Linked DNA regions of Pelodiscus sinensis. The protein of the gene in region 3 purifies or fractionates together with the protein of the main gene of each other region. This does not show direct contact. Links are inferred from orthologs where the notes say so. Each region holds a gene or a part of one and is shown on either strand. Other genes may lie near its edges.

Region 1 (7,030 bases), on a different chromosome or scaffold from region 3:
CTTTTCACCTGTACGTGGCCCCCAGCCCTAAAAAGGTTCCCTGCCTCCGTTCTCCATAGTCCCCTGTGCATCACTGAACCTATGTGGTGCCTAGGAGTGGCAAGTCTGCCTAGGCTCACGGTCCGCCCCGGTGGTGCCCCTATTATACGCAATTCCTGCTCTCCTCCAGCAGGCCCTTTTGCGCGAGCGCTCCCAGGGGAATGGAGAGGCGCTGCATGAGCATCCCAGCCCACGGCAGGCCCACCTCAACAAGCACCACCCCCATCCTCAAATGTATGGTCCAGTCCCAAGTCTCCAGAGCGTACAGGGGCTGAAAGACGCCAGAGGTCATGCAGAGCGCTGAGGCAGTAGACACACATCACTATGGCCCGGTCTTTTCACCAGCCGGTTTTGTGATTTTACCCTGCGGGAAGGACCCTAGGGGACTGGCAGCCTCCTGCTTCATTCCTCTTCCCTATTGACAGGGGCAACTGGGCGTCTCTTGCAATGGAGCCAGAGGCTGCAATTCGTGGCAGATGGTCGCTTCTTCAGAGAGAAGGCAGGGAGTGCTAGCCCTCTGGCCAAAGGATACCGCTCAGGGCCTGGAGTAAGTGTACCACACCCTCGTTGTTCCAGGCCCTAAATATTTCAGGGTATGTCTACACTACCCTCCTAATTCGAACTAGGAGGGTAATGTAGGCATACCGCACTTGCAAATGAAGCCCGGGATTTGAATTTCCCGGGCTTCATTTGCATAAGCGGGGAGCCGCCATTTTTAAATCCCCGCTGGTTCGAACCCCGTGCCGCGCGGCTACACGCGTCACGGAGTAGCTAGTTCAGATTAGGCTTCTAATCGGAACTAGCTGTACTCCTCGTGGAATGAGGAGTACAGCTAGTTCGGAATAGGAAGCCTAATCCGAACTAGCTACTCTGTGCCGCGTGTAGCCGCGTGGCACGGGGTTCGAACTAGCCGGCATTTAAAAATGGCGGCTCCCCGCTTATGCAAATGAAGCCCGGGAAATTCAAATCCCGGGCTTCATTTGCAAGTGCGGTATGCCTACATTACCCCGCTAGTTCGAACTAGGAGGGTAGTGTAGACATACCCTCTGTGACCATCTCCCACCCATATCCGTCAACAGCAGTGTTTCTCAACCAGGGGTACACATACGCTTAGGGGTACTCGAGAGAAATCTGGGGGGTACGTCACCACAACTGAAATTTGGAGAAAACTGAATTTTGTTTGTTTCACAGTGCTTTATTATTGTTGTACTTTTTACACCCAAAAATGTCATCACTCCCCTGGCTATGATGAAGTTGTTTAAACAAATGTGTTGCAATGGTAGAAAAAAATTGTGTGTCTGAAAACTGTAGGTACTGGGGGTATGTATAATTTTTTTTAAAGGGGTACTTTATAAAAAAAGGTTGAGGAACACTGGTCTACAGCCGTGGCTCCCAACCTTTTTGAGGATACAGACCCCTCTTCAATCTATTAAAATGTTACGGACCTCCCCAAACCATATAGCCCTGCTGACAGCCTGTACGTCCCTCGGCCCACGCTGCTTCCCGAGCGGCGTCCCTCCGCCTGCAGGGGAAGCAACACGGGTTAGACTCTGCACAGACCCCCCTACAGGGATCCGCGCAGTGCAGGTTGGAATTAGAAACCACTGATCTGCAGCCGTGATGGCAACTGAGGTGAGTGACAGGCCTCCATCTCAGAGCGCCCCAGACTGTCGTAACCAAGATGGTCTGCTGGAATAGGGTATTTTTGCTAACTGCCCTAGCTTACCTACAGTTCGCAGGATGTGCCAATTGAATTGTAGCAGCACTTTGATTTGGCTGTGGAGGGGGCGCCCGGCTCTCAGTCAATGCTGTGTGCAGTCAGCACGCACCTCCCTTCACGGGCCCTGGCTTTCCATGCCTGTCACTTAGTAACACTGGTAGGAAAAATACAACCTGGATGGAAACCAGCAGAATCTAGCAACCCTGTGTGTGGGGAACAGTCAACACAATGTTGCTGGTCTGCAGTAACCAAAAGGCCGGAGCGCTCTTGGCTGCTGTACCCTAACCCACCTCACCCCAGCATTCCTCTTTGTCAAAGAACACGCCTGTATGAAACGTACGTGATCTACCCAAGGCCAAAGCCAATGGCTACTGGCAGGCTGCAGTAGTGGAGGAAGGCGGCGGGTATACTCCCATGGGCAGGAGGGGAGCTCGGATTTGTGGCCTGATTTATTTCATTCATTATTTGCCTACGAGCTGGCTTTTTGGCTGCTGGGTGGGGATCATTTGTGCCTGCAGGACTTCTTCATTGCCAGGGCTGGGGCTCCAAGAGGCATTTCATAACGGGGTCTGTATTTTACACTAGGGTAACAATCAATATTGCAGCCACCGGTGGCTCCCAAAGGCCCAAGAACCATCTCCTTTGCAGCATGAACAGGGCCTGCGCCGCCTCTGTTAAGTGTCAGTGATGGGCTGAGAGACACCCCCACCGCACCCCGAGTCTGCAGAGCAGGCTGGCTGCTCCTGCCATGGGCCTGGCTCTACCCTCAGTCACTGGATCCTCAGAACTGCGCTGGGGCTCAGAACCCTTCACACAAGGAGCGTGGCGGGGAGGGACTGCCAGAGGAAGGGGAAACAGTGTACAGTGGGGGAAAATAGGGGGAGGGTGGGACCAATGAGGGATGATTTAGAAGGTGGAAAATTTGTGTGGGGAGAGATTCAGTGGGGTCCACTAGGGGGAGGAATTATGGGCTGGGACCAGAGGGGGGTACTGTGGGATACGTGGGGAGGGGGTATGAGTGGGACCAAATGGGGTTTTGTGGGGTACCTGGGGAGGATTAAGAGGTGGGACTAGGGAGGATTTTGTGGGGTACCTGGGAAGGGGGTTGGGTGGGACCGGGGGGAGGTTCTGTGAGGTACATGGGGAGGGGTTATGGGATGGGACAATTGGGGTACATCTAGATTACATGCCTCTGCCGACAGACGCATGCAAAATAGGCTACCCGACATAGTCAACGAAGCGGGGACTTAAATATCCCCGGCATCATAAAAATAAAAATGGCCGCCGCGCTGTGCCGGCTCGGCTGATCGTCGGCACAGCGCGCGAGTCAAGACGTGGATCGATCAACAAGGGAAGCCTTTGTCGACCGCTCCCTTATGCCTCATGAAACGAGTCAACAAAGGCTTCCCCTGTCGACCGATCCGCGTCTTGACTCGCGCACTGTGCCGACGATCAGCCGAGCCGGCACAGCGCGGCGGCCATTTTTATTTTAATGATGCCGGGCATGTCATCTAGATGTACCCTTGGGGGTCCCGTGGAGTATGTGGGGCAGGGTTATGGGGTGGGACTGGGTTAAGGTTCTCTGGGGTACATGGGGAGGGGTTATGGGGTGAGACAATTGGGGGTTTTGCGGGGCCCGGGCGGAGGGGTTATAAGGGGGACCCGGGGGGGGGGTAGCGGGCCCGGGGGGAGGGGTTATAAGGGGGACCCGGGGGGGGGGTAGCGGGGCCCGGGGGAGGGGTTATAAGGGGGACCCGGGGGGGGGTAGCGGGGCCCGGGGGGAGGGGTTATGAGGGGGAACCCGGGGGAGGTTATGAGGAGAGACCCGGGGGGGGGTAGCGGGGCCCGGGGGGAGGGGTTATGAGGGGGAACCCGGGGGGGGGGTTATGAGGAGAGACGGGGGGGGGTAGCGGGGCCCGGGGGGAGGGGCTATGAGGGGGCGGGGGGTGGCGGGCCCGGGGGGGAGGAGTTATGAGGGGGGAATCCGGGGGGGTAGCGGGGCCCGGGGGGGGTTATGAAGGGGGACCCAGGGGGGGTAGCGGGCCCGGGGGGAGGGGTTATGAAGGGGGACCGGGGGGGGTAGCGGGCCCGGGGGGAGGGGTTATGAAGGGGGACCGGGGGGGGGGTAGCGGGCCCGGGGGGAGGGGTTATGAAGGGGGACCCGGGGGGGGTAGCGGGCCCGGGGGGAGGGGTTATGAAGGGGGACCCGGGGGGGGTAGCGGGCCCGGGGGAGGGGTCATGGGGGGGTTGTCGGCCCGGGGGGGGTTATAGGCGGGGGGGACCGTTCGTGCCCGGAACGTTGCGGCGGGGCGGCGGCCGCGGGCGGAAGGCGGGTCGCGGGCGCAGGCGGGAGGCGGCCGCTCGGAACCGGCCCCGGAGCAGGCGCGGGAGGCCGGGCGGGGCCGGCAGCGCCATGGCGGAGACGATCGTGAGTCGGGGCCGGGGGGGGGCAGCGGCGGTTTGCGGGGGGGGCCCGAGCCGCCCCGTCCCGGGCCCCCGCCTGCCCCCCCCACCGCCCCGTGGCGGGGGTGAATTCCTGCTGCTGCTCTGTCTCTAGCAGCGGACGGCCCCCCCCCCCCCCGCGTCCGTTGCCCCCCAAGGGAGGGGGCGCCTCAGCTGCTGCTCCCGGCCGCGGCGGTCACGTGAGACCCTTCAGCCTCCCCCCGACTCAGAACCCCCCCCCCCCCCCGAAGCGAGGCCGAGGGTTCTCACCGGCCCCCAGCCCGGCTCCAGGCCCCCCCCCTCCAGCCCGGCTCCAGCCTCCCCCCATCTCCCTCCAGCCTTTAGCTTGTGCTGGCGGTGCGGGAATGGGGATGCTCTGCGCGTTCTAGTCGCGGCGGGGATGGGCTGGGGGGGAGGCACCGAGTCCCCTGGGACAGTCAAGTGCGAGGCTTTGCACGTGCCTGCAGTGCCGGATTGGTCTAGTAACTACCCGCCGGACTATGACTTCCCTCTTCGCCCCCATTTACACTTCACTGCCATAGTCTGTGTCCACACGGCGCAGGGAAACTCCTGATCCCAGTGCAGATGGTGCCTAAACCCTTGTTTACTCTTAACTTTTTTTTTTCTTAAAATTCTCCCACCAGTTCTGCAGCACGTGTTCTAGAAGGGGTGAGAGTACTGATGTTGGCCCAGCTGCCAGTATGTTTACCACCATGCTCTCTAGAGCTGGTCTAGATGGCATTGGGATGAAAATACTTGTGTCCAGGAATGGCAGTGGGAGAATTTCCCAAAGTCCTCCAAGTCAAAGGCCCCTTTGGCTAGAGGCAGAGCCATGCTAAAACTCTGAAAGCCACCTTCTGGCTTTAGCCAGCATCTAGGTTAGAAAGCTTTTCTTCTAATGCAGTTTGGCTTTGTCTCCACAAGAAGTTATTAGCCATGCTAGAAACTGGTTTAACTGGAAGGGTCTATAAACACAGTTCCTTTACTCTTCGTAAAGGTCTATCTCAATAGGCCTGTAGCTTGCCTGTTGTTAGGAGCAATCTCTTTTGTTTCAGGGATTGCTAAATCAGTTGATCTCTTGTTGTATGCCTCGGTGTCCCCATCCGGCTCCCTTATTTTGAACCTCTAGCCCGCACTTCTTGATCCTTTAGTCATTATTTGTCCCAAGAAATCAATTGAACATGGGTCCAGTGTCCCTCCCATAAGGTTGGGGAGGGGCTTTTAGAAGGTGGGCGGGCTTCGCCCGCCCACCATCCCATGATTTCAAATAGGCCCAGTAGGTCATTGGCCTCTGGTGTGTTCTTCCATGTCAGTCATCGTTTTGCCAATGGAGAGAGAACTGGGTGTAGAAATTGACAAAACAAAAAAAGTTGTTTAAACTGTTTGAAACAATCTGGAAACTTGTGACAAAACAGATTTGTGTTTAGTTTTTCTTTCTAAAGCTGTCAGGCAAAACCTCCTTTCTGACGCTTGCTGTTGAAAACAAGTGTCTCCATTGACTTCCAAAATCACAAACATCTACCTTACTCTCCTGTAAGGTACATCACCCAGGAGTTAGGCCCTATCAGAGCAACTATGGTGAGACAGCAACTGGCAGCTCTCTTCCTTTCAGCATCTGGACATTACTGATAGTACCTTCCTCTTAGCATTTTCTTGCCTCACCCGAGTAGCAGCAAACATCTTTTTTAACTGAGTTCTGGCAAAGTATTCCTTTTCTCCCCTTCATGCTTCATGCTAGTTACTGTGACATTGGTGTTGGTCTTGTTTGAAATGCTGTCCAGAGCTGAGGACACCAAAATAAGGAACACAGCTGATTTGTCATCTATTTCTATGGAAAAGGTTTGCATTAAGACCTGTTGGTTTATCTCCCTGCCGCTATGCTAGTGCCAGGCAGTTAAATGTTCAATTGTCTGCTCTGATTTCTGACTAATTCCAGTGCCACCTAGGAATTATGTGGAGACATCATCTTCTTAGTCATGGGCAGAAAAACTTCATCATCCTTGGTCCCATTAGCCCATCCAATATTCTCAATAAGCCCCAAAAGTGGGAGAAGCTTGAACATTTAAAAATATGTAGAGTCTTATTTTGGCATTCCTAGGCTGAGTAAATGTAAGCAGGGGCCTTTCCAATCAGGAAATGGAATGAGGGTTGGGGTTCCGTGTGTGTGAAACATCAAAGCAAGGCGGGGTCACCCTCAATCCTTATGGTGCACCCTGAAATGTACTGTGATTTAATCTGGCCCTCTGTGTTGTGCTCACTTCTCTGCAGGAAGATACAGTGCAGCAATTTAAACAAAATCATCGTCTTTTACAGGCATTCCTTGTTTCTCGCATGCTCCATGTATTCACCCAGAACTTTGGCGTTGTAATACAAAATAACTTGGAAGGAGAGCATGCTGGAGCACTCTGGTGGCCTTGTGCTGCGCCCTGCTGTCCTTCCCAGGGGCACATCGGTGTGTGTAATAGTATTTGCCGCCGCGTGACCCTTCACTGCATGTCCTGCTGCTTGGTACTTTGGTTTGAAGTGCAGGCTGAGCGTTAGTCACTTTCACACTCCGGAGAAGCGTAAGACATCCTGATGGTTGTGTCCTGATCCATAGCCAAGCCTGTCTTTATGGGAACAATTGCCTCTGGCCCCTTTTCCCAAAAGCAGGTGGCTTTGCACATCTTTCCAGTGGAAATCCTATTAACATCTCCCAGTAATGCCTTGTGCCTTCATGACTTAATTCTCTTAGTCTCTTTATTGGAGATAGATGCCAACTGTCAGTAATGTTGAAATAACATTGAAGATGACCCTTAATGCTGCAAGTTAGTTCAGTCCTTCCGTAAA
Region 2 (6,934 bases), on a different chromosome or scaffold from region 3:
ACCCTCCCCCTCCGGCCCCCGACACTCCCCCGCAAACCCTCCTCTCTTGCCTCCCCGACACCTCCCCAAAACCCTCCCCCTCCGGCCCCCGACACTCCCCCGCAAACCCTCCTCTCCTGCCCCCGACACCTCCCCAAAACCCTCCCCCTCCGGCCCCCGACACCTCCCCAAAACCCTCCTCTCCAGCCCCCGACACCTCCCCAAAACCCTCCCCCTCCGGCCCCCGACACTCCCCCGCAAACCCTCCTCTCCTGCCTCCCCGACACTCCCCCGCAAACCCTCCTCTCTTGCCTCCCCGACACCTCTCCAAAACCCTCCCCCTCCGGCCCCCGACACTCCCCCGCAAACCCTCCTCTCCTGCCCCCGACGCCTCCCCAAAACCCTCCCCCTCCGGCCCCCGACACTCCCCCGCAAACCCTCCTCTCCTGCCTCCCCGACACCTCCCCAAAACCCTCCCCCTCCGGCCCCCGACACTCCCCCGCAAACACTCCTCTCCTGCCTCCCCGACACCCCCCTAAAACCCTCCCCCTCCGGCCCCCGACACTCCCCCACAAACACTCCTCTCCTGCCTCCCCGACACCCCCCTAAAACCCTCCCCCTACGGCCCCCGACACTCCCCCGCAAACACTCCTCTCCTGCCTCCCCGACACCCCCCTAAAACCCTCCCCCTCCGGCCCCCGACACTCCCCCGCAAACACTCCTCTCCTGCCTCCCCGACACCCCCCTGCAAACCCTCCTCTCCTGGCTCCCCGACACCTCCCCAAAACCCTCCCCCTCCCGCCCCCGACACTCCCCCGCAAACACTCCTCTCCTGCCTCCCCGACACCCCCCCGCAAACCCTCCTCTCCTGCCTCCCCGACACCTCCCCAAAACCCTCCCCCTCCGGCCCCCGACACTCCCCCGCAAACACTCCTCTCCTGCCTCCCCGACACCTCCCCAAAACCCTCCCCCTCCGGCCCCCGACAATCCCCCGCAAACACTCCTCTCCTGCCTCCCCGACACTCCCCCGCAAACACTCCTCTCTTGCCTCCCCGACACCTCCCCAAAACCCTCCCCCTCCGGCCCCCGACACTCCCCCGCAAACCCTCCTCTCCTGCCCCCGACACCTCCCCAAAACCCTCCCCCTCCGGCCCCCGACACTCCCCCGCAAACCCTCCTCTCCTGCCCCCGACACCTCCCCAAAACCCTCCCCCTCCGGCCCCCGACACTCCCCCGCAAACCCTCCTCTCCTGCCTCCCCGACACCCCCCTGCAAACCCTCCTCTCCTGCCTCCCCGACACCTCCCCAAAACCCTCCCCCTCCGGCCCCCGATACTCCCCCGCAAACACTCCTCTCCTGCCTCCCCGACATCCCCCTAAAACCCTCCCCCTCCGGCCCCCGACACTCCCCCGCAAACACTCCTCTCCTGCCTCCCCGACACCCCCCTAAAACCCTCCCCCTCCGGCCCCCGACAATCCCCCGCAAACACTCCTCTCCTGCCTCCCCGACACCCCCCTGCAAACCCTCCTCTCCTGCCTCCCCGACACCCCCCTAAAACCCTCCCCCTCCGGCCCCCGACACTCCCCCGCAAACACTCCTCTCCTGCCTCCCCGACACCCCCCTAAAACCCTCCCCCTCCGGCCCCCGACACTCCCCCGCAAACACTCCTCTCCTGCCTCCCCGACACCCCCCTAAAACCCTCCCCCTCCGGCCCCTGACACTCCCCCGCAAACCCTCCTCTCCTGCCTCCCCGACAACCCCCTGCAAACCCTCCCCCTCCGGCCCCCGACACTCCCCCGCAAACACTCCTCTCCTGCCTCCCCGACACTCCCCCGCAAACACTCCTCTCCTGCCTCCCAGACACTCCATTGCAAACCCTCCTCTCCTGCCTCCCCGACACCTCCCCAAAACCCTCCTCTCCAGCCCCCGACACCTCCCCAAAACCCTCCCCCTCCGGCCCCCGACACTCCCCCGCAAACCCTCCTCTCCTGCCTCCCCGACACTCCCCCGCAAACCCTCCTCTCTTGCCTCCCCGACACCTCCCCAAAACCCTCCCCCTCCGGCCCCCGACACTCCCCCGCAAACCCTCCTCTCCTGCCCCCGACACCTCCCCAAAACCCTCCCCCTCCGGCCCCCGACACTCCCCCGCAAACCCTCCTCTCCTGCCCCCGACACCTCCCCAAAACCCTCCCCCTCCGGCCCCCGACACTCCCCCGCAAACCCTCCTCTCCTGCCTCCCCGACACCCCCCTGCAAACCCTCCTCTCCTGCCTCCCCGACACCTCCCCAAAACCCTCCCCCTCCGGCCCCCGATACTCCCCCGCAAACACTCCTCTCCTGCCTCCCCGACATCCCCCTAAAACCCTCCCCCTCCGGCCCCCGACACTCCCCCGCAAACACTCCTCTCCTGCCTCCCCGACACCCCCCTAAAACCCTCCCCCTCCGGCCCCCGACAATCCCCCGCAAACACTCCTCTCCTGCCTCCCCGACACCCCCCTGCAAACCCTCCTCTCCTGCCTCCCCGACACCCCCCTAAAACCCTCCCCCTCCCGCCCCCGACACTCCCCCGCAAACACTCCTCTCCTGCCTCCCCGACACCCCCCTAAAACCCTCCCCCTCCGGCCCCCGACACTCCCCCGCAAACACTCCTCTCCTGCCTCCCCGACACTCCCCCGCAAACACTCCTCTCCTGCCTCCCCGACACCCCCCTAAAACCCTCCCCCTCCGGCCCCCGACACTCCCCCGCAAACCCTCCTCTCCTGCCTCCCCCACACCTCCCCAAAACTCTCCTCTCCCGATCCCTGACACCCCCCCCCCCGCAAACCCTCCTCTCCCGCCCCCCGACACCCCCCCGCAAACCCGCCCCCCGACAGCCCCCCCCACCTGGAGGCTGCATCCCCGGCCCTGAAGCGCCTTCACCGTGAGCAGCATCGCGCAGCCCGGAGCGGCCCCTTTAACGGCACCATAGACGCCCGGAGGGAAGCGGGCTTAGAGCGACCGCCACGGAACCATAGAGCCGGAAGAGGCGCGTAGAGCGTCACGTGTCATAGAGTGTCAGTGCCTTGGAGCCTAGAGTGGCCGGGGCCATAGTGCGCCGCGGCTCGTACCATAGAGTCTCGGGCCCGAACATTGGCTCCTGTAGCCTAGACTGGAGCCGCGGCGGGCGCAGGGCTAGAGTGTCCCTGTTGTACCATAGAGATCCAAACGCAGCGCGGATAGAGCGGACATTCCCTCCCCGCCGCACTCGCGACTATTCTGGCCTGGCCCCAGCACCATAGAGTCTATTCTGCGGGGGGAGGGGAGAGCGGCCAAGTAGAGAGAGGCGCCCCCAGAGCCGGGACCTCCCACTGGCCCCGCCCCCAGCCCCCGACTCCGCCCCCAAGCTGGCTGTGAATGGCACCAGCGTTGAGCCTCCACCAATAACAGCTCCATGCACAAACTTGCTCTTTCTCCTTTATTGGCCCCTTCCCCTCCCTTAACAGCCTGTGTGGCCCCCTCCCTGAGGACCATTGCCAGCCACACAGAAAACACAGTATAAAATGAGGCTGGGTGTTCAGGGGCCCAACATGAGACTTTGGTTTCCTACTGCCCCCACTGGGAGGGGCCCCTGGGGTGAGCCCCTTGTACAGCAGGTCCCTGAATCTGCCTGTCTCTGCCCCCCAACAGCAGGGTGCTCAGCTCCTAGGGCAGCCCAGCCCTGCAGTAGAGGGGCACTCAGTGCTTAGGGCTGCCCAGCCCCCAGCAGGACCCATTCCTTCTCACAGATGGGGCACTCAGGGACTGGCAGATGGCTGCAGCTTCTTGTAGAGGAGATGGGCCAGCACTAGCACCAGCATCTCAGCCGTGCTGCTCAGGGCCACCACGAAGGGGGCCTGGGAGGCATAGTCAGCCTGGCGACGGCGGAAAGATAACTGCAGCACAGCCAGTGCCAGCAAGCTGTTCTGCACTCCCACCTCAATGCTGACTGTGCGGCAGTGTGGGCCTGGCAACCGCAGGCAGGCAGCCAAGAGGTAACCCAGCCCCAGGCCAACGAGGGGCACGGTGAGCCCGGCCAGCACCACTGGGGGCTCCACCTCAGCCAGGATGACGGCTCCCATGTGGTAGGCCAGGAGGAGTCCACCCAGGATGAGGGCAAAACTGAAGGGTTTGATGAGCAGCAGCAGCAGGCGGGCCACGCGGGGCAGCTTCCACTTCACCAGCAGCCCAGCCGATATGGGCACCGCAATGAAGAGCAGTGTGCCCACGATCTTGGCGAAGGGCACGTGCAGGCTGGGGTGGGCACTCAGCAGGCGCCCATAAAGGGCCGAGGAGAGCGGCATGAGCCCAGCGGCTGCCACAGTGGACAGCAGTGTCATGGCAATCGCCAGGGTCACGTTGCCACCCAGCAGCAGGCTGTAGAGGTAGCCACCACCCCCACCTGGTGAGGAGCAGGTGACAACCAGCCCCAGTGCCAGCGCCGGGGGGAGGGCAAAGGCCAGCGAGAGGAGGTAGCCATAGAGTGGCATAGCAATAAACTGGCCCACAATGCCCAGGAGCACGGGCTGTGGCTGGCGCGCCAGCTCCCGCAGCGCCTCCAGCTCCACCTTGCAGCCGAAGGCACACTTGTTGACAAAGATGAGGGGCAGCAGAGCATAAAGCAACGGGTTCTCTGAGAAGTGGCCCAGGCCTGGGTGCCCTGGCTCCTCACTCGCCATCACCCGCACCCGGAACTCGCCCCGCTCCTCCACCAGCTGATGCTGGTCCAGCAGGCGCAGCCGAAGTGGTGCCAGCCCAGCTGGGCCTGAGCGGATGGCCACCAGGAAACCGCCTGCTCCACAGCACAAAGCACTCACGTTCTCCACAGTCAGCACCGCAGGTGCCAATGAGGCCGCACTGAGCCGGGCACCACTTGCTGTCCCATTGGTGCCCAAGTACCGGCTGGACACGACCATGACACCCCGGCTCCTCTCAGGGAAGTCAAACTCCAGGGCACTGCCATCACCCACACTCAGGTACCTGCCAGCTGGCTGCCCCCAGCTGGCCCAGGTCCAGCGGCCCAGCCCCAGCAGCAGCAGTGCCAGGGCTTGAGCCATGCCGGAGCACTCACGGCTCATGGGCATCTGGCCTCCTCCAGGTCCGGCACATCGGGACGTTCCCGGCCAGCAGGTGCAGGTCTGGATGCTCTGGTGCCTGTGGGAGTGGAGGGGCAGAGGTGAGAAGAGGAGCCCAGGCTGGAGGTGGCAGGGTTGGATGCCACCCCCCACCAGAGAACTGGGGGGAGGGGGAGTGTGGACCCACGCTGTGGGGCAGGGGGCAATGTGCAGAGCTATGGGGTGGGGAGGGGGCAGGGGTGTGGAGTTATGGGACGCAGGGAGGGGTTGTGAGGCGGGGCGGGGCTGTGAGGTGAGGGGGGAGTTTACGGGGCGGGGGATGCTCCCTCCCCCTGCAGCCAGAGAGCCCCCCCGCCCCGGCCCACACCTGACACCGACCCGCGGACCAGTCTTGACTCGGCTGCGTCCGGCTTCCTTCGGCCCCGCCCCACGTTCACGTCACAGGGGTGGTCCCGCCCCACGGGCATGACCTCACTAAGGTCTAGCCCACCACGGAAGTGCCGAAGCGCGCCCCCTAGAGGGCGGTGCCTGGGACCGGAAGAGCGCGCACCTGAGAGGGCGGGGCTCGCTGTCCGCTGGCTGGCTGGAATCCTGCGGTGTGCGCGCGCGTGGGGCAGTTAGGGGACGGAGGGCAGATAGGGCGGGGCTCAGAGAATCCGGGGCGCTGATTGGTTAAGATGGGGCACGTGGCTGCTCATTAGCGGCTCCTGGCGCTTCCTTAACGCCCCCATAGCAGCGAGCCCCGCCCTGTGATTGGCGGGGCTCAGGGGCCCCCGCCCTGTGATTGGCCAGGCTCAGGGGACCCCCGCCCTGTGATTGGCGGGGCTCAGGGGCCCCCGCCATGTGATTGGCCAGGCTCAGGGGCCCCCCGCCCTGTGATTGGCAGGGCTGAGGGGCCCCCGCCATGTGATTGGCGGAGCTCAGGGGCCCCCGCCCTGTGATTGGCAGGGCTCAGGGGCCCCCGCCCTGTGATTGGCTAGGCTCAGGGGCCCCCGCCCTGTGACTGGCGGGGCTCAGGGGCCCCCGCCATGTGATTGGCCAGGCTCAGGGGCCCCCGCCCTGTGATTGGCAGGGCTCAGAGGCCCCCCCGCCCTGTATTGGCCAGGCTCAGGGGCCCCCTGCCCTGAGATTGGCAGGGCTCAGGGGCCCCCGCCCTGTGATTGGCCAGGCTCAGGGGCCCCCGCCCTGTGATTGGCAGGGCTCAGCCCCCCCCCCCCCACCATGTGCCTTTTCTCCCACTACACTGGCCGGGGGGAGGCTGGTCTCCTGGCTCAGCCCCATGGGGGGGGGGGTGCAGCGCGAGGGGTCTTTGGCCCGCCAGGCATCGCCCTGTGTCCAGGAGGGTCCCCAGCAGGGGAGCCACCAAGGGCCCCGGAGGCAGTACGAGCAGGAGGATCAAAGCCTGAGAGTGGAGAGGCCTGGTGAATCAATGGCGGAGCATCCCGGAGTTTTGGACTCGTCTCAACACACTGGCCCCACCCAGGCTGCCCCCACGAGGACCAAGCCCCAGACTCTACAAGGCTCTTGCTTAGGTGAGCGAGCACAGCCGGGGGACAGAGTGATGGTGTCCAAAGGCAGAAGGCTCAGAGAAGAGCCCTGCAAATGACCAAGGGCTAGAAAACCAGCCTTCTAGCTAGCGACTCCAGGAGCACAGTTGGAACCACTGTCCCAGAATAAATGAACTGAACAGAGAATCATCTAGTGACCCATCCCCGGCTTCTGAAAGAGGCTAGGGAGACCCTTCCTACTCCCCTGGCTAACAGCCATTGATGGACCTGCCTCCATGAACTCGTCTAGCTCTTTATTGAACCCTGCCTTAGTTTTGGCCTCCACGACATCTTTTGGCAAGGAGTTACACATGTTCAT
Region 3 (7,824 bases):
TTTTGATGTACTTAAAAAACATTTTGCTATTACTTCTTGAGTTCCTGGCTAGCTGCTCTTCAAACCCCTTTCTGGCTTTTCTTATTATATTTTTACACTTAACTTGGCAAAGTTTATGCTCCTTTCTATTTCCCGCACTAGGATCTGATTTCCACCTTTTAAAAGATGCCTTTTTATTGGTCGCTACTTCTTTTACCTGGCTGTTAAGCCACAGTAGCACTCTTGCAGAGATTTTACTTTTGTCACTGGACCTTTTAATTTCTGTTTAACTATCTTCCTCATTTGTGTGTCGTTCCCCTTTCTGAAATACAATGGCACCATGTTGGGCTGCTGAGGGGTTTTTCCCACCACTGGGATGTTCACTTTTATTACCTTATGGTCACTATTGCCAAGCGGTGCAGTTCTATTTACCTCTTGAACCAGATCCTCTGTTCTCCTCAGGACTAAATCAAGACTAGCCTCGCCCCTTGTGGGTTCCAGACCCAGCTGCTCCAAGACGCAGTCAGTTACGGTATCAAGACACGCTATCTCTGCATCCCACCCTGAGGTGAGGTGTACCCAGCCACTACGGGGATAGTTGAAATCCCGCACTACTATTGTCGAGTTTTTTAAATTGATAGCCTCTCTCATCTCCCTTAGCATTTCATAGTCACTAGCACGGTCCTGAGCAGGGGGTCAGTAATATATCCCTACTGCTCTAGTCTTAGTATTGGAGCATGGAATTACTGGCCAGAGAGAGTCTATGGAACATTTTGGCTCATTTAAGATTTTTACTTCCTTTGATTCCACATTTTCCTTCACGTATAGTGCCCCTCCCCCACCAGCAGGACCTGTTCCGTCCTTCCGATATATTTTGGACCCTGGTATGCCGGGGCCCCTTCACTGGCCTCATTCCACCAAGTTTCCAGGTTGCTTTTTATATCAATATCCTCCTTTAAATCTAGGCACTCTCGTTCACCCATTTTACCGTTTAGACTTCTAGCATTTGTGTATAAGCACTTTAAAAATGGGTCCTTATTTATCTATCTCCATTTCCTGATGTGTTCGACTTTTTCATTTGATTGTGTCTCATCTGATCCGACTCAGACGTCCATCCTCTCCTCCCGCTGAGAACACAGAGCATCTCTATTAATAGAACTTCCCCTAAGGGATGTCTCTGTCCAGTCCATGTCTCCTCCGCACCCATCGGCTTTCCCCCAGCCCTTAGTTTAAAGGCACAGAGAGTGATGAACCCGAGGGTGCCTTGTCAGACCCAGCCTCATCCTGCAGGAGCAGAGTCCGGTTCCCTAGGCTGGCCCATGTGTAGGTACCAAGGACGTGCTTGGGAGTACGCTGTGGTGGTCCCTGGTGCTTATGCCTGGTGGTCAGGCGCGCTGAGAGCAATGGCATAAAGCAGCGTGTGGCGCTGGGACTCGGGAAGGAACGCCTGGCTGCATTCGCCGTCTCCCACGTTCATTATTTCGGATGCCACTAATAATCCCAGCAGCGCTGAAGGCGATTTGGGGCGGAGGGGAGCCAGATTCCAGCCAGTGGAACAGGCTTGGAGGGGTGATGGCGCACCCGAGAGAGGCCTCTGCCTCCATCTAGTGGGCTCTGGGCTCTCTTGGGTGACAGTCAGCCCGGAGAGACCCCGTGTCCTGGATTCATGCCGCCAGTGCAGCTGGGCATGGGTCAGACCACCCCTGGGGCTCCCAGCCTCCTTCCTGGGAACCCAGCCAGGCCACAGCCACAGCCCAGCTGAGCTCAGGACCCTAGGGGAGGCTACTGGGGAGGGGCAGCAGGACATGGGCACGGTGAGGACGCAGACTCCCATCTTGCCAGCTGCTCCAGCCCCAGCAGGGCCTTCCATCCCCTTGCTGCTTCCTGTCCCTGCACAGCCCCAGCCGCCCTTCTCCTCCCCCCACACGCTCGCTCACACCCCAAGTAGGCGGCTACACCCAGGCTCCTGGCTGCTGGATCCTGTCAGGCAGCATTTGCAGCTGCCACTCCCGGTGCCTCCCTGGGCCCGGCGTCAGGCTCTGCTGAGGACTCGGCTGCCGGATCCCTCGGCCAGGCTAGAGAGCCAGGCCTGCTGAGCTGGTGTCATGTGTGACGGGCAGCCCCAGCCAGCGTGTGGGGCCCGGTAGTTCCCCAGGGACTGAGCTGCCTCCCCATTGCAGAGGGCCGGTGGCAGGGCAGAGCTGGGGGACATCAGTCCAGGCCCACGGGGCAGGAGTGGAGGCCAGGGGATGGCTGCCTCCCGCTCTTTAGTAAGCTGTCCGGAGAGCGAGCAGCACCAGCCCCTCCCAGGGACTCAGGCCGGGGCAGCCTGGCACGCTGACCGCCGAGCTCCAGGGCAACAGAGCGCTGGGCCGAGGCCAGAGCGTCAAGTGCTGTACAGCCGGGGCCGGGGAACCCTGAGAGCCCTGCTCCCCGGCAGGCAAGCGACCCCCATGCGTGGCAGAGAGGGAACTGGAATGCCCACGCGCCCGGGGAGACCACGGCCCTGCGGCCCAAGGGACAGAGCAGCCGCTACCCGGCTCCCTCCAGGCGGCTGGGCTCTCTGAGCCTTCCCGGGGCCCCCTCCTCGCAGCTGGGCCAGCCAGCCAAGACCGGGGTGTGCTCCGGGGGGGGGGGGGGGGTCTGCCTGTCAAGCCAAAGGCAGCCACCGTCACATCACCTACAGTCAGCAGAGGGGCAGAGAGCAAGTGTGCCCCGGGGGGCCATTGCCCACCCCCAGCAGGGACCCCAGGCCAGGACCAGCCGCCAGGGTGCCCATTCCCCACCCCAGCCTGGGCCCCAGCCCTGGGGGTCATTCCCCTCCCCCAGTAGAGGTTCCAGCTGGATACAGCGAGGGGGGGCCCAAACCCGGCTCAGCCCCGACGGGACCATTCCCCACGGGGGGGGGGGCCCAGCCCCGACGGGACCATTCCCCACGGGGGGGGGGCCCAGCCCCGACGGGACCATTCCCCACCGGAGGGGGGGGGGGTCAGACCCGGCTCAGCCCCGACGGGACCATTCCCCACCGGAGGGGGGGGGGTCAGACCCGGCTCAGCCCGGACGGGACCATTCCCCACCGGAGGGGGGGGGTCAGACCCCGCTCAGCCCCGACGGGACCATTCCCCACCGGGGGGGGGGGGGGGGGTCAGACCCCGCTCAGCCCCGACGGGACCATTCCCCACGGGGGGGGGGCAAGACCCGGCTCAGCCCCGACGGGACCATTCCCCACGGGGGGGGGGGCAGACCCGGCTCAGCCCCGAGGGGGGCATAGCCCGCCGGGGGCCCCAGGCCGCTCGCTCTCCGCTCTCACCCCAGGCCGCTCGCTCTCCGCTCTCACCCCCCGTCTCGGGGCTCTGCTCCGGGCCCCCGGCGGCCGCCCCGAAGCCCGGGTCGCTCTCGATGCCGGCGATCTCGCTCTCCTGCTGGGCCAGGAAGGCGGCGGCCGGGTCCTCCTCCGGGGCGCTCTCCGGCGGCGAGAAGCGGCCGCAGCTCTCGGCCATGCTGGCGCCGCGCACGGAGCCGAGCCGAGCCGGAGCGGGGCCCGGGCGCAGCTGTCACTGCGGCGGCGGGAGGAGCCTGGCGGGCCGGGGCGGGCCGGGAGGAGGGAGCGGGACGCCAGCGAAGGGCCGCGGAGCCTGTGCAGGGCGCGAGGCCCGGCGCTCTCCGCCCCCCGAGGGAGGGCTCGCCCCAAGCGGGACCGCAGCCCGGCCGCTCCGGCACGGGACACCTGCCCCCCCCCCGGCCTTTGGTGCGAGATGGGGGCAGATGGGGGTGTGCGGGGCGCGCTCTCGCCAATCAGCTGTCCCTGGCGAGGCTGCGGTCCCCGCGTCCTGCAGGTCCGGGCGCGCCCCGGGGACTGAAGGCCGGCTACTCTTCCCAGCTCTCCCCCGAGGAAGGGCTCGGGAACGCGGGGTGCCCCCAGGAAGAAATTCCCGAGTGCGTCTTTCTGGGCGCCCAAGGGGGTTTTGCACTGGGGGGGCAGTCCGGTGTACCAGGGAGTGCGGCACTGGGGAGCCGTTTTAAACAAGCCCCCCCCCCCCTTGTGCACGGGCAGAGCCGGAGTGGGGAGCAGCGGAGGGGGGGTGAATTCCGGAGTGGGGGAGCAGCCTGGGCCGGGGGGGGGGATGAATTCCGGAGTGGGGGAGCAGCCTGGGCCGGGGGGGTGAATTCCGGAGTGGGGGAGCAGCCTGGGCCGGGGGGGGATGAATTCCGGAGTGGGGGAGCAGCCTGGGCCGGGGGGGGGGGTGAATTCCGGAGTGGGGGAGCAGCCTGGGCCGGGGGGGGGTGAATTCCGGAGTGGGGGAGCAGCCTGGGCCGGGGGGGGGGATGAATTCCGGAGTGGGGGAGCAGCCTGGGCCGGGGGGGGATGAATTCCGGAGTGGGGGAGCAGCCTGGGCCGGGGGGGTGAATTCCGGAGTGGGGGAGCAGCCTGGGCCGGGGGGGGGTGAATTCCGGAGTGGGGGAGCAGCCTGGGCCGGGGGGGGGTGAATTCCGGAGTGGGGGAGCAGCCTGGGCCGGGGGGGGGGTGAATTCCGGAGTGGGGGAGCAGCCTGGGCCGGGGGGGGGTGAATTCCGGAGTGGGGGAGCAGCCTGGGCCGGGGGGGGGTGAATTCCGGAGTGGGGGAGCAGCCTGGGCCGGGGGGGTGAATTCCGGAGTGGGGGAGCAGCCTGGGCCGGGGGGGGGGTGAATTCCGGAGTGGGGGAGCAGCCTGGGCCGGGGGGGGGGTGAATTCCGGAGTGGGGGAGCAGCCTGGGCCGGGGGGGGGTGAATTCCGGAGTGGGGGAGCAGCCTGGGCCGGGGGGGGGTTAATTCCCACGGGCACGAAGGAATCCGCTGAGGGGTAGGAAGTGTAGAAACAAGCGGGTCCGTGGCGAGACGGGCAAGCCCCGAACACTGCGCAGGGACGCCCAGCCGCCTGGGGCAGGCTCGAACCAGGCTCCCGTGGAGCCAGGCGAAGGCCTGGGCGGGGGCAGCTTTCCCCCACGTGGGCCCGGCAGGGAGCCGGCAGCCGGTCTCGAACCCCCGGCTCCCAGGGCTCTCCGCAGAGCTGCGTCCCACGCTCGGGAGCCTCCGCCGGGAGGTCACGTGGAACCAGTGCCAGGTTCGGGCATCTCCGGATGCGCTCGGCCCTTTCCGGCCGGCCGTTGGCGTCGGCTCCTGCCCGCCGTAGGGGCGCGACGTAGGGGCGGAAGTGCGGGGCGGCGTGCGACGTCAGTTCCGGAGAGTGACGGAGCGGCGGGTCAGAGGCAGCGGCAAAATGGCGGCGCCTGAGGAGCGCGAGCTGACGGCGGAGCAGACCGAGAAGCTGCTGCAGTTCCAGGTGCGGGGGGGCGGCGGGTCGCTGGAGCGGGCCCCCCCCGGCGGGCCCGCTTTGCGGGGGGGCTGCGGGGCCGGCTCCGGCCTCTGCGCGGGCCTGGGCTCGCGGCTTCCTCGCGGGCGGGGCCGAGTCAGTCGCTTCGCTGGCGCGTGGCGGGGCCTGGCGGGAGGGGCCCCGCGGGGAGGCGGCCCGCCCGGGGACAGGGGCCGCGCGCCCCGGGCCGTGTCCGGAGCCTCCGCCTCGGTCAGGGCGGGCCCCTGGAGCGCGCTCCTCGCGGGGGGGGGCACCGGGCCGGTTCCACACACCGGGGGGGGGGTCCCGTTCCATGCGGATGAATTGGCCGATCGGCGCCTCGTGCACTTGGCACAGGGCCAGGCCGCACTTCGTGCCCCGAAGCGCTGGGACTCCAGCCACCCCCCGCTGGCCCCGTGCTCCCGGCAGTGCTGCATGGAGCCCCCGGGCTGTGCACAGCATTCCAGGGTTCCACCGGGCGCTGCCACTTTGCAGCACCCTCACCTCTTCTCCCCTTCCCCCCACCTCTTTCTGATCGAGGCAGCAAGGGGGGGAAGCAACTAGCGTATCCACTATCCAATGAGCATTTGCTTATGGGATAATTGACTAGTCAGTCACACCCCTTACCCAATTCATCTTCCAAGTACGATTACATAGATTTTGTCAGTCTGAGTCTACAGACAACTCCAGCACTACTTGTGCTGCTTCTGAATTTTATTCTTCAGTAAAATGGCTATCGAGAAACCAATTAATTTAATTGCAGCTATTCAGAAACCTGTTGCCAGCAACAAAGCTAACTCTAGTAAAGAGTTTGGCATAAACTGTAATTTCTATTAATTATATTTTCAGTTGGAGGCTGTTTTGTAAAGCCATAAACAGTCTAAGCACTGGGACTGTTATCCTGGATCATGTTGATGGTCTACTCTCCTGCTTTCCAAACTTTCATGTTCACCTTTAGCCAGTATTCTTCAGTTGATGCTTCAAACTCTACAGCTGCTTCACATTTCAGTAGCACCTTGCTACTGAAGAGCTTGATGGTTTATGACTCTTAAGCAGGGGTGGGGAATAAGTGGCCCATGGACCAGACACAGTTCCCTACGGTTAGCCCTTGGTGGGTCACTGGTGCTTTATTAACCTGTGCCTCCACAGGTATGGCTGCTTTCAGCTCCTGTTGGCCGTGAATGGGCCATTCCTACCCAATGGGAGGCATGGGAAGCAGCGTGGACTGGGATGCCACTTCCCACAGCTCCCATTGGCCAGGAATGGTGATCTGCATCCAACAAGAGCTTCAAGCCGTCATGCCTGCAGACGTGTAGGTAAATAAATGGCTGATAATCTGCCTCTGGCTTATTGCCCATCCCTGCTCTTAATTATCTCAGTTTACAAAAGGCAGATTAGTTAGTCCCATTTTATAAAGGCATAGTGACTTGCCCAATGCCACACAAGAAGTATGTGATTATGTCTGGTCCATGATTGGAGCTCCTGTGTACTACTGCAATACAAATAATAATAGTGAGAGTCAGAATAGGAAATAACTCCCGATCTTCAGGTTCACAATACTGTATTTTAACTACAAAGCTATCTCTGTCAGTTTGATGGTATTGGAAAAAGATATTAGGGATATAAAAGATTAAACCGTTCTCTAGTAAGCATTAGCCTTATTGGCGTGCTTACCAGTTAACTGGAGGATCCAGCCATTGAGAGAAGCAGGACCCTTGCTGCAGCAGGCTAGCAGGGTCAGAACAGCTCCCTCACCTGTGACCAGTAGTTAGCCGATTAAACAATTTGTTTAACCGGTTGGATGTTTTTCATTCCTGTTAGATACATAGGTAGGCATGGTTCAGTCACTTATCTGTAAATGCTATGCTCAAATGTTAAAGATATACATAAGTAACTATGGAGAGATTGTATGTTCAGGAGCTTCAGGGGGTAGCCAAGTTACTCTGTTACAGAAAAAAACAACAAATGGTCTGGTAGCACTTTAGAGACTAACAAAACATGTAGATAGTGTCATGAGCTTTTGTGGGCACAGTCCACTTCTTCTAACTCCAGTCATCTGAAGAAGTGGGCGGTGCCCACGAAAGCTCATGATACCATCGACATGTTTTGTTAGTCTCTAAAGTGCTACCAGACCATTTGTTGTGTTTTTATGGAGAGATTGGTATTCTGTTAAGCATTCTGAGTCCGCACCATTAACTTCACTAAAACTAGGCTGCTTGCCTGAAATTATACATTCCAGTATTCGTTTACAGTAGCATTGGCCAAGATGATTTGGCGATGCTGTGATTAAGAAAATGGGAAATCTCACTTTGGAAAAGTGTTTTCAAAATGGCTTATCTTACAAACAAAATCCATTTTATTCTAGTAGTCTTGTTGGAAAATGGTGACTAAGTAGAAGTGTCATTTTTTTAAGGCCAGATGGGGCCCTTTTGATGATGTAATCTGACCTAAATAACACAGGGCATTGAACGTCAGTTACCCAGAAGCTTTGTTTGTGAACGTTGACTATAATTAT
Region 4 (7,753 bases), on a different chromosome or scaffold from region 3:
CCTGAGGGAGGGGAATGTCATATGAGAGCTTCCCAATTTAACTGCTTTCAATTAGGGAACAAATGCACTGACTTCACAAGCACCACTCTTATTACACTTCCCACAGGCTCCATGGGAGTCTCCATCCGGTCCTGCACAGCCTTACAAACAATAGTCCTAATGCATATTCTTGAGGATGCTCTTTGACCAACTCCCCATCCCCCTTCATATTAAAACATAACAACGGCCAGACTGGGTCAGACCAATGGTCCATCTAGCCCAGTGTCCTGTCCTGACAGGTGCCCCAGAAGGAATGAACCAGACAGTAGTCACCCATTCGCAGCTTCTGACAAACAGAGGCTAGGGACACCATCCCTGCCCACCCTGGCTAATAGCCATTGATGGACCAATCCTCCATGAATGTATCTAGCTCCTTTTTTGAACCCTGTTAAAAAGTTATATTCTTTGCAGGGATATGCTTTTATCTCCCCACCCCCTCCTCCAACCCACTTCCCAATGTCACGTGGAACACTGAACTGCGCTTCCAACCCGAATCAATACTCATAACATCGTCGTCATCCTCATCTGGGATTTCGATCACTTCCATGGGCTTGGAGGCTGATTCTTCATCTTCAGAGCTGCTCTCACGATACTGAAGGCCCAGCTTGGAGTAGAGATCTTTTACCAGTATCTCACATTTACCAATGGCTCTGCAACATATTGAGGGGGGAAAAAAGGGGCAGAGAGAAAGATCCAAGATGAATATAATTATACCCCACTCCTCCCAGGAAGAGGAGAAGGTTTTGCACAGCTGATACCTGCTACTTTAAGGGGTTACTCAGCAATTGTGGCCATTATCACCACTAAGCAGAACTGCGAGTTTGCCCAAGTAAGCAAACCAGAATTAGGGGTTGGACAAACTAACCCGAAGGACTCAAAGCCACTACACGAAACAGCTACCAAAGTGCACGCGCTTAATGAGTACTTCTAAGAATCTGAGTGCATGAAACTTGCCTACACATCGTCCAGCAAGTCAGTGGTAGAGATGGAAATAGAACCTGAGAATCCTAATGCCCAGTTCCCTCTTCTAGAATTCTCTTTGCTACCTCCACTAGCTCTCTCTTCAACACAAAGTTGCCACTGCAAGTATACCTACCTTGAAGCATCATCAAAGAGCTGGTCAACATATGCCACTTCTGCTTCTTTCTGTTCCACACTCTTTTCCAGCTCTTCCAGCTGCTGTTTCCTCTGTTTCACACTCTCAAACTTCTCCAGCTCCTCATCAATGAATTGCTGGAGCTCCTCCATAGAGATCCCCAACTCCTCTATCACTTCTTGCTGCAACTCTGTTACTTCCTGAGAATCCATTTTTGCTAAAACCAAAGCAATAAAAGAAATATGTGACAACATGCAAGCTTCCAAGGCTCTGGTCACACACAGTGTATGTCAGCATAAGTATTGTACCACTCTAACCAACCTGACTGCAGTATAAGACCTCATAAGCATATGGACATTTTGGATGTAAGAGTGTAACTGTTTACATGGGTAACAGGTAAGCATGAGCTTATCAGTTACACAAATGGTTACATGCGGCTCCCGGTCCAGATCCTTGGGAGCAGCAGGTGGGAGCCAATACATGTGGAAAGCTAGCTTAAAAGTTGGTTCCCTGCTCTCTCTATGGGTATGTCTACACTACCCCCCTAGTTCGAACTAGGGGGTGGTAATGTAGTCATACGGAGTTGCAAATGAAGCCCGGGATTTGAATTTCCCGGGCTTCATTTGCATAAAGCCGGCCGGCGCCATTTTTAAATGCCAGCTAGGTCGGACCCTGTGCCGCGTGTAGCCCCTAGAGGCCCCCTTCTATCTGTGCCCCCCATTGCCCCTCCCTCAGAACCCCCCATTGCCCCTCCCTCAGAGCCCCCTTCTATCTGTACCCCAACTGCCCCTTCCTCATTGCCCCTCCCTCAGAGGGCCCCCTCAATCTGGACCCCAATTGCCCTTCCCCCAGAGCCCCCCATTGCTCCTCCCTCAGAGCCCCCCTCTATCTGTACCCCAACTACCCCTTCCTCATTGCCCCTCTATCTGTACCCCAACTGCCCCTTCCCCATTGCCCCTCCCTCAGAGCCCCCCTCAATCTGGACCCCAATTGCCCCTCCCCCAGAACCCCCCATTGCCCCTCCCCCAGAGCCCCCCTCTTTCTGTACCCCAACTGCCCCTTCCCCCTCCCCCAGAGCCCCCCTCTATCTGTGCCCCCCATTGCCCCCCCCCGCTCCCATGTTCCCCGAGCCCACATTCCTCACCTCTCCCCGGGCCCGGGGGGTGGGGCTGTTTCTGAGGAGCAGCCGTTGGCTGCGGGCAGACCGGATGGAACCTCTCAGCACTTCCGGTGACGGTAGCCCGCGAGGCACAAGTGAGCTCTGCTTGAGAGCGGGGCACGAGCCCACCGCTGGATATTGCGCATGCGCCCAGCGTGCCTCTGGGATATACTCTTAAAGGGCCAGGGGTCCGTCAGGCTGTGTGGGTCCGTGCGCATGCGCCGGGAGAACACATCGTTAAGGGCGCTGCGGCAGATCTTAAAGGGACAGCGGGGAGGTGCCTTGCCCGAGGTCACAGAGCGAGTCAGTGGCAGAGCCGGGAATGGACGCCAGGAGTGCGGGCTCCCCCTGCCACAACTCTGCGCACTTCACAGGGGCTTCCTGGGCACTAGCCTCTGAGCTGAGGCTGTAGCTGCCTGACATGGGCCACGAGGCTAGTGCTGGGCTCGCGTGGGTGGGGGATAACAGCCTACTACTGCTGCTTTCTTGCAGCCCTGCCTGAGGGACAGGCGCTGCACTGGTGGGCTGAGGCTTGGCGCTCAGCGTTCAAATCTTGCTGAGGAACTCACCCTGTGCTGAGATGTCACAGGAGAGAAACATCCTGCCCCTCATTCCAATCGTACACACGTGACTATGTGCAGGAAAACCAGAGTGGGCAGGTCTGCGCTCACTTTCTTGCTCCGGTAGAGATGGCCGCTTGGCGTAAGCAACCATCTCCTACTCCAGCTTGCTGTCGGAGCCAGCCAGCCCAGATGGCTACTCCTGTCTTCCTCAATAAGGCATTAGGATTAGGAGAATCTAAGGGGAGTCAAGGAGAGTCAAGGAGATAAGGAGAGTCAAGACTCCTAACTTCTGTTCCTGGTTTGGCCATGGACACTTTGACACAAGGAGTTTAGTATATTCACTTACCACCCCAAAGTCTTATGAAGCTGAATTAATTGTCAAGTGCTTTGAGATCCTTAGATGGAAGATACCAGGTATTATCAATAGTGTTAGAATCTGACAAATGCACAATTTAAGCTACAGAATCTTCATTATCTGTGCAGGGGTGGGGGATTACAGGGACCACAAGAGGCAAAAGAGTCACCCACAAGGAACTGATTAGCCAGTTTTCCTCCTATTTATTGTCAGTCAATTGATCTGCTCTTCCTCCCAAGTGGAGGTGGGGATGGCGCTGTATGGGTCCACAATCAGCTTGGCGCACCTCACGATCATGGCCATCAAGAAAACGCACATCAGGATGACAAACCCAATGGCAAACCCCTTGTCCACATCGACGTACGGCTGCACTGTCGGACTCTCCATAGGGCTCCGCCTTCACACCCTGCTCTGTCCTCTGAGCTCTGGCACGTCCATCACCTGCACAGCAGAGTTTGAGATGGAAATCATTATTTTTGTGCATAATTTATATTGTGATTGTGTAATCCATACACCTAGGCTACATCTACACTGGCATGATTTTCCGGAAATGCTTTTAACGGAAAAGTTTTCCGTTAAAAGCATTTTCAGAAAAGTGTGTCTAGATTGGCAGGACGCTTTTCTGGAAAAGCACTTTTTCCAGAAAAGTGTCCGTGGCCAATCTAGACGCGCGTTTCTGCAAAAAAGCCCCGATCGTCATTTTCGCGATTGGGGCTTTTTTGCGGAAAACACTACAGTGCTGTCTACACTGGCCGTTTTCCAGAACAGTTTTCCAGAAAAAGACTTTTGCCCAAATGGGAGCAGCATAGTTTTTCCGGAAAAGCACTGATGATTTTACATTAGATCGTCAGTGCTTTTCCGGAAATTCAAGCAGCCAGTGTAGACAGCTGGCAAGTTTTTCCAGAAAAGCGGCTGATTTTCTGGAATAACTTGCCAGTGTAGACACGGCCCTCGTGTGTGTGGTTCACTGTCCCATGTAGTGGCATTTAGACCACTTATAGTGAGAGAAAAGAATGAGTGAGCTCTACAGCCTAAGATTAGAGCCAGCTGGCTTTATAGCTTAAGCTGTAGCGGCTCCTACACTAAACTCTAGAGAGCCCGGTTTCAAATCTGCAGGGAGGTGATTACAATTGCACCTGTGGGTTCCAATTAAGTCTCTATGGTGCTTGGTGTTGTAAACAACCTAGTCACTGGCCCAAAGAGCTCACCTATGAAATTAGGAAGTTTGCATTACCTGCAGAGGACAGAAAATGCTAGAGTTTGCTGCTCATAGGTTCAAAGACTTTAAAGCCAAAAGGGACCCACATGATTATCTATTCTGACCCTATGCACAGGCCACAGAATCTCACCTATTCAGTCCTGTAGTAGGCCCATGATCACCAGCTGAGTTACTGAAGTCCTCAAAACTTGATTTAGAAAATTCAAGTTAGAGAAAAGCCGCCATTTGTTCTGGGAAGTGTCCTGTGCCCCACAGCACAGAGGGAAGGAAAAAAGCCCTCTAGCATCTCTGCCAATCTGACTGGAGGGAAAATTTCTCTAGTAACTTAGAAGCCTCCCCCTCTAGCGTCCCCTCTTCTGCCATGGGAGATAGTTGTGAACAGCTGTTGTGGATGGGCCATATGTCATTGTATGTAACTTCTCAGATAATTTCCTCCATAAACTTATCAAGCGCTTCCTTTGGCCCATCAACCCCAGTATGTTCCATGTGAGAGACATGTCACAACATATTGGTTATGTACTGAGTACCGCTGAGAGAGGCCTGACTCCCCCATTTCCCTAAACACTGAGACATAGTCACTTTCTCTGGCTCAAGTCATGTTTATTTCTCCATATTTACAGAGTGGACCAGCTTCAAGAGTGGGGATTGAGAAAGTACCATTAACCCACTGGGTAGGGCACTCATCTCAGAGGGGAGAGACCTGCGATCATGTCCCTTCTCTGATTCAGGCAGGCATTGGCCATGTAACCACTGAGCTAAGGAGTGTAAGAAGGGCAGCTGTGTTTTGTGGGAGGTCTGATCTGGTAGACAAGCTCTTTAGCAGCCTCAGCATGCCTGTGTCTGTGTCTCCATTCCACATGAGAATAATAGCTTTTCCAAGGAGTGCTGTGAAAATACCGGCATTAAAGAGGATGAAGTGCTTGCTGCGATGTGATGCGGGCCACAGGAATACTTTGGATAAGTGACCTGACACATCATCAAGATGACAGATTTCCGTTTATTTACAGTCACTTGTTTGTATCCTGTTGTAGTTTAGTTCCAGGAGACACTGAAAATACTTGGCTGCTGGCTTTTGGATTGTTCATACTCAAAGCATGTGCCCAGGGCTATGTCTGGTGCGGTGAGTAGTTTTCCATGTGATTTCACTACTGGTGTATTTTCACTTTCAGATGTGTAATAACGTTGCTTAGTGCACTCCTGAAAGGCGCTGAGATGCTACAGCGATGAGCAAGCTGTGAGAACCTGTATAGACTAGAAGTGGTGAAAGTTTGACTGTCTCAGAAATTTTGGAGTCCTCTGTTTATCCAGAGAACATATCTAGGAGGGTCAGCAGCAGGAAATGCATCCCTAATTCCTCCCACCCTCAAACCTGTTCTAGGAGGACTACAACCGAAGGGGTCACTCAGATGCCAGAGCCTCTCAGTCCCTGTCATCTTTGCCAAACCTGCTAAAAAGTGAACAAGGTGGCAAGCTTTTTGAGACTGTTCTGTGTTTGTACAGCACCTAGCACAAAGGGGTCCTGATCCGTGACTTTCCTTCTCCCCACCACACACACTACTGCCCTGCAGATAATAATAGGTCTCCCTTTACTGCAGTAGCTGAGCATCTCACAGTCTATAATATATTTATCCTCATGACATTAGTGGGAGGTAAGGCTATAAACCATGTTTTGCAGCTGGACAATTGAGGCACGGAGAGATTAAGGGAGTGGCCCATGGTCGCACAGAGATTCTGTAGCAAGGGCACGGTCTTGAACTGAAGTTTCATGAGGCCCTGGACTCTTAGATCCTTGTTAATGTTCATCTGTCTGAAAGGAGGAGATATTGACAGCTGGGGTGCTGGCTGTGCAGGGTGGACACCCGTCACACTGGGGATAGACTGAGGCCCACCAAACTTAATTTCCTGTTACAGTTCCCTGATGAACCAGCAGGTGGCAGAGAAGGAAATCCTGTAAGTCAGTAGTCCCCAACCTTTTGGGACTGCCGGGTGCCCGGAGGCAGGGCCACTCACGCACCGGGCACCCAGGGGAGGGGCCACACATGGGCCCGGGGGCGGGGCCGCATACACACCCGGGGGCGGGGCCACCCGTACGCTGCGCACCCAGTGCCAGCGCCACCCATGCGCCACACTCCCAGGGCTGCCACCGCTCCTGTACCTCACGCCTAGGGGCGGGGCCACCCATATGCCGCGTGCTCAGGGCCAGCGCTGCTCAGGGGTGGGGAGCCAAGCGCCCAGGGGTGGGTACGCCCATACGTCGCGTGCTTGGGGCCGGCACAGCCCATGCGCCGCCCACGTGCTGTGGGCCCGGGGCCGGGGCCGGCGTTGCGCCTTCACCGGGCGCCCGGGTCGGTGCCGCTCATACGCCGCGTGCCCAGGGGCCAGCAAAGCCCTTGCACTGCATGCCTGGGGATGGGACCAGTCCCGATCACTCGGTGGGCGCACAGAAATGTCCCGGCGGGCGCCATGGCGCCCACGGGCACTGCGTTGGGGACCACTGGTGTAAGTGACTGTTCCAGTGAAGTCTGATGCAGCTGGTGAAGTGTCACAGAGGTCACCTGTGTTACAGAACCCAGCTCTCCCAGGCCAGCAGCATCTTAACGACTGGTCCACCCGTCCTCTCCTGCTACCTTATCATGACTGCCCCTTGGCCTGCCCATAATTAGCCATTTTCTTGTGAGCACCATAAAGTCAGTGAGTCTGGAGAGATTGGAGGCACATGAGTGGCTTAAGGGATTGGCTAGAGGAACTTGTTGCCAGCATAGTGGGCGGGACTAAGTACTCTCTTCTAGACCATCCCTGACAGGTGTTTGTCTGACTTGCTCTTTAAAATCTCCAATAATGGAGATTCCACAACCTCCCTAGGCACATTGTTCCAGTGTTTAACCACCCTGACATTTCCTAATGTCCATCCTAAACTGCTCATGCTGCAATTTAAGCCCATGGCTCATTGTCCTGTCCTCGGAGGTTAAAGAGGACAATTTTTCTCTTTCCTCCTTGTAACAACCTTTTACGTACTTGAAAGCAGCTGTTATGTCCCCTCTCAGTCTTCTCTTTTCCAGATTAAACAAGCCCAATTCCTTCAGACTTCCCCCATAGGTCAAGTTTTCTAGATTTTTAATCATTTTTGTTGCTCGTCTCTGGACTTTCTCCATGCACGTCTTTCCTGAAATGTGGTGCCAGAATCGGACACAATGCTCCAATTGAGGCCTAATCAGTGCAGAGTAGAGCGGAAGAATGACTTCCTGTGTCTTTCTTACAACACTCCTGCTAATACATCCCAGAATTGCACTCCACACATGTTGGGCATGCCCAGTCCTACAGC

Evidence for each region.
Region 1: the proteins of FAF2 (region 3) and NPLOC4 purify together in Homo sapiens (affinity purification with mass spectrometry; 3 studies listed by BioGRID and IntAct, with this or other methods). This does not show direct contact. The link is inferred for Pelodiscus sinensis from reciprocal best matches to the Homo sapiens genes FAF2 and NPLOC4.
Region 2: the proteins of FAF2 (region 3) and UBL4A purify together in Homo sapiens (affinity purification with mass spectrometry; 3 studies listed by BioGRID and IntAct, with this or other methods). This does not show direct contact. The link is inferred for Pelodiscus sinensis from reciprocal best matches to the Homo sapiens genes FAF2 and UBL4A.
Region 4: the proteins of FAF2 (region 3) and SETDB1 purify together in Homo sapiens (affinity purification with mass spectrometry; 3 studies listed by BioGRID and IntAct, counting the BioPlex papers as one, with this or other methods). This does not show direct contact. The link is inferred for Pelodiscus sinensis from reciprocal best matches to the Homo sapiens genes FAF2 and SETDB1.

What each region holds. Positions count from the first base shown.
Region 1 is NC_134730.1:27,376,554-27,383,583, forward strand, and holds the start of NPLOC4 (nuclear protein localization protein 4 homolog), read left to right. Parts: upstream 1-4,027; 5' UTR 4,028-4,172; coding exon 4,173-4,187; intron 4,188-7,030. UniProt on the Homo sapiens protein: The ternary complex containing UFD1, VCP and NPLOC4 binds ubiquitinated proteins and is necessary for the export of misfolded proteins from the ER to the cytoplasm, where they are degraded by the proteasome.
Region 2 is NW_027465910.1:144,049-150,982, forward strand, and holds the start of UBL4A (ubiquitin-like protein 4A), read right to left. Parts: upstream 3,019-6,934; 5' UTR 2,910-3,018; coding exon 2,862-2,909; intron 1-2,861. Other genes in the region: SLC10A3 (P3 protein), read right to left, coding at 3,752-5,050. UniProt on the Homo sapiens protein: As part of a cytosolic protein quality control complex, the BAG6/BAT3 complex, maintains misfolded and hydrophobic patches-containing proteins in a soluble state and participates in their proper delivery to the endoplasmic reticulum or alternatively can promote their sorting to the proteasome where they undergo degradation.
Region 3 is NC_134727.1:41,027,041-41,034,864, forward strand, and holds the start of FAF2 (FAS-associated factor 2), read left to right. Parts: upstream 1-4,807; 5' UTR 4,808-5,237; coding exon 5,238-5,300; intron 5,301-7,824. UniProt on the Homo sapiens protein: Plays an important role in endoplasmic reticulum-associated degradation (ERAD) that mediates ubiquitin-dependent degradation of misfolded endoplasmic reticulum proteins.
Region 4 is NC_134734.1:21,839,481-21,847,233, reverse strand, and holds the start of SETDB1 (histone-lysine N-methyltransferase SETDB1), read right to left. Parts: upstream 3,024-7,753; 5' UTR 3,009-3,023; coding exon 2,864-3,008; intron 2,436-2,863; exon of another isoform or gene 2,280-2,435; intron 1,710-2,279; exon of another isoform or gene 1,457-1,709; intron 1,353-1,456; coding exon 1,136-1,352; intron 690-1,135; coding exon 517-689; intron 1-516. Other genes in the region: CTXND2 (cortexin domain containing 2), read right to left, coding at 3,426-3,599. UniProt on the Homo sapiens protein: Histone methyltransferase that specifically trimethylates 'Lys-9' of histone H3. H3 'Lys-9' trimethylation represents a specific tag for epigenetic transcriptional repression by recruiting HP1 (CBX1, CBX3 and/or CBX5) proteins to methylated histones.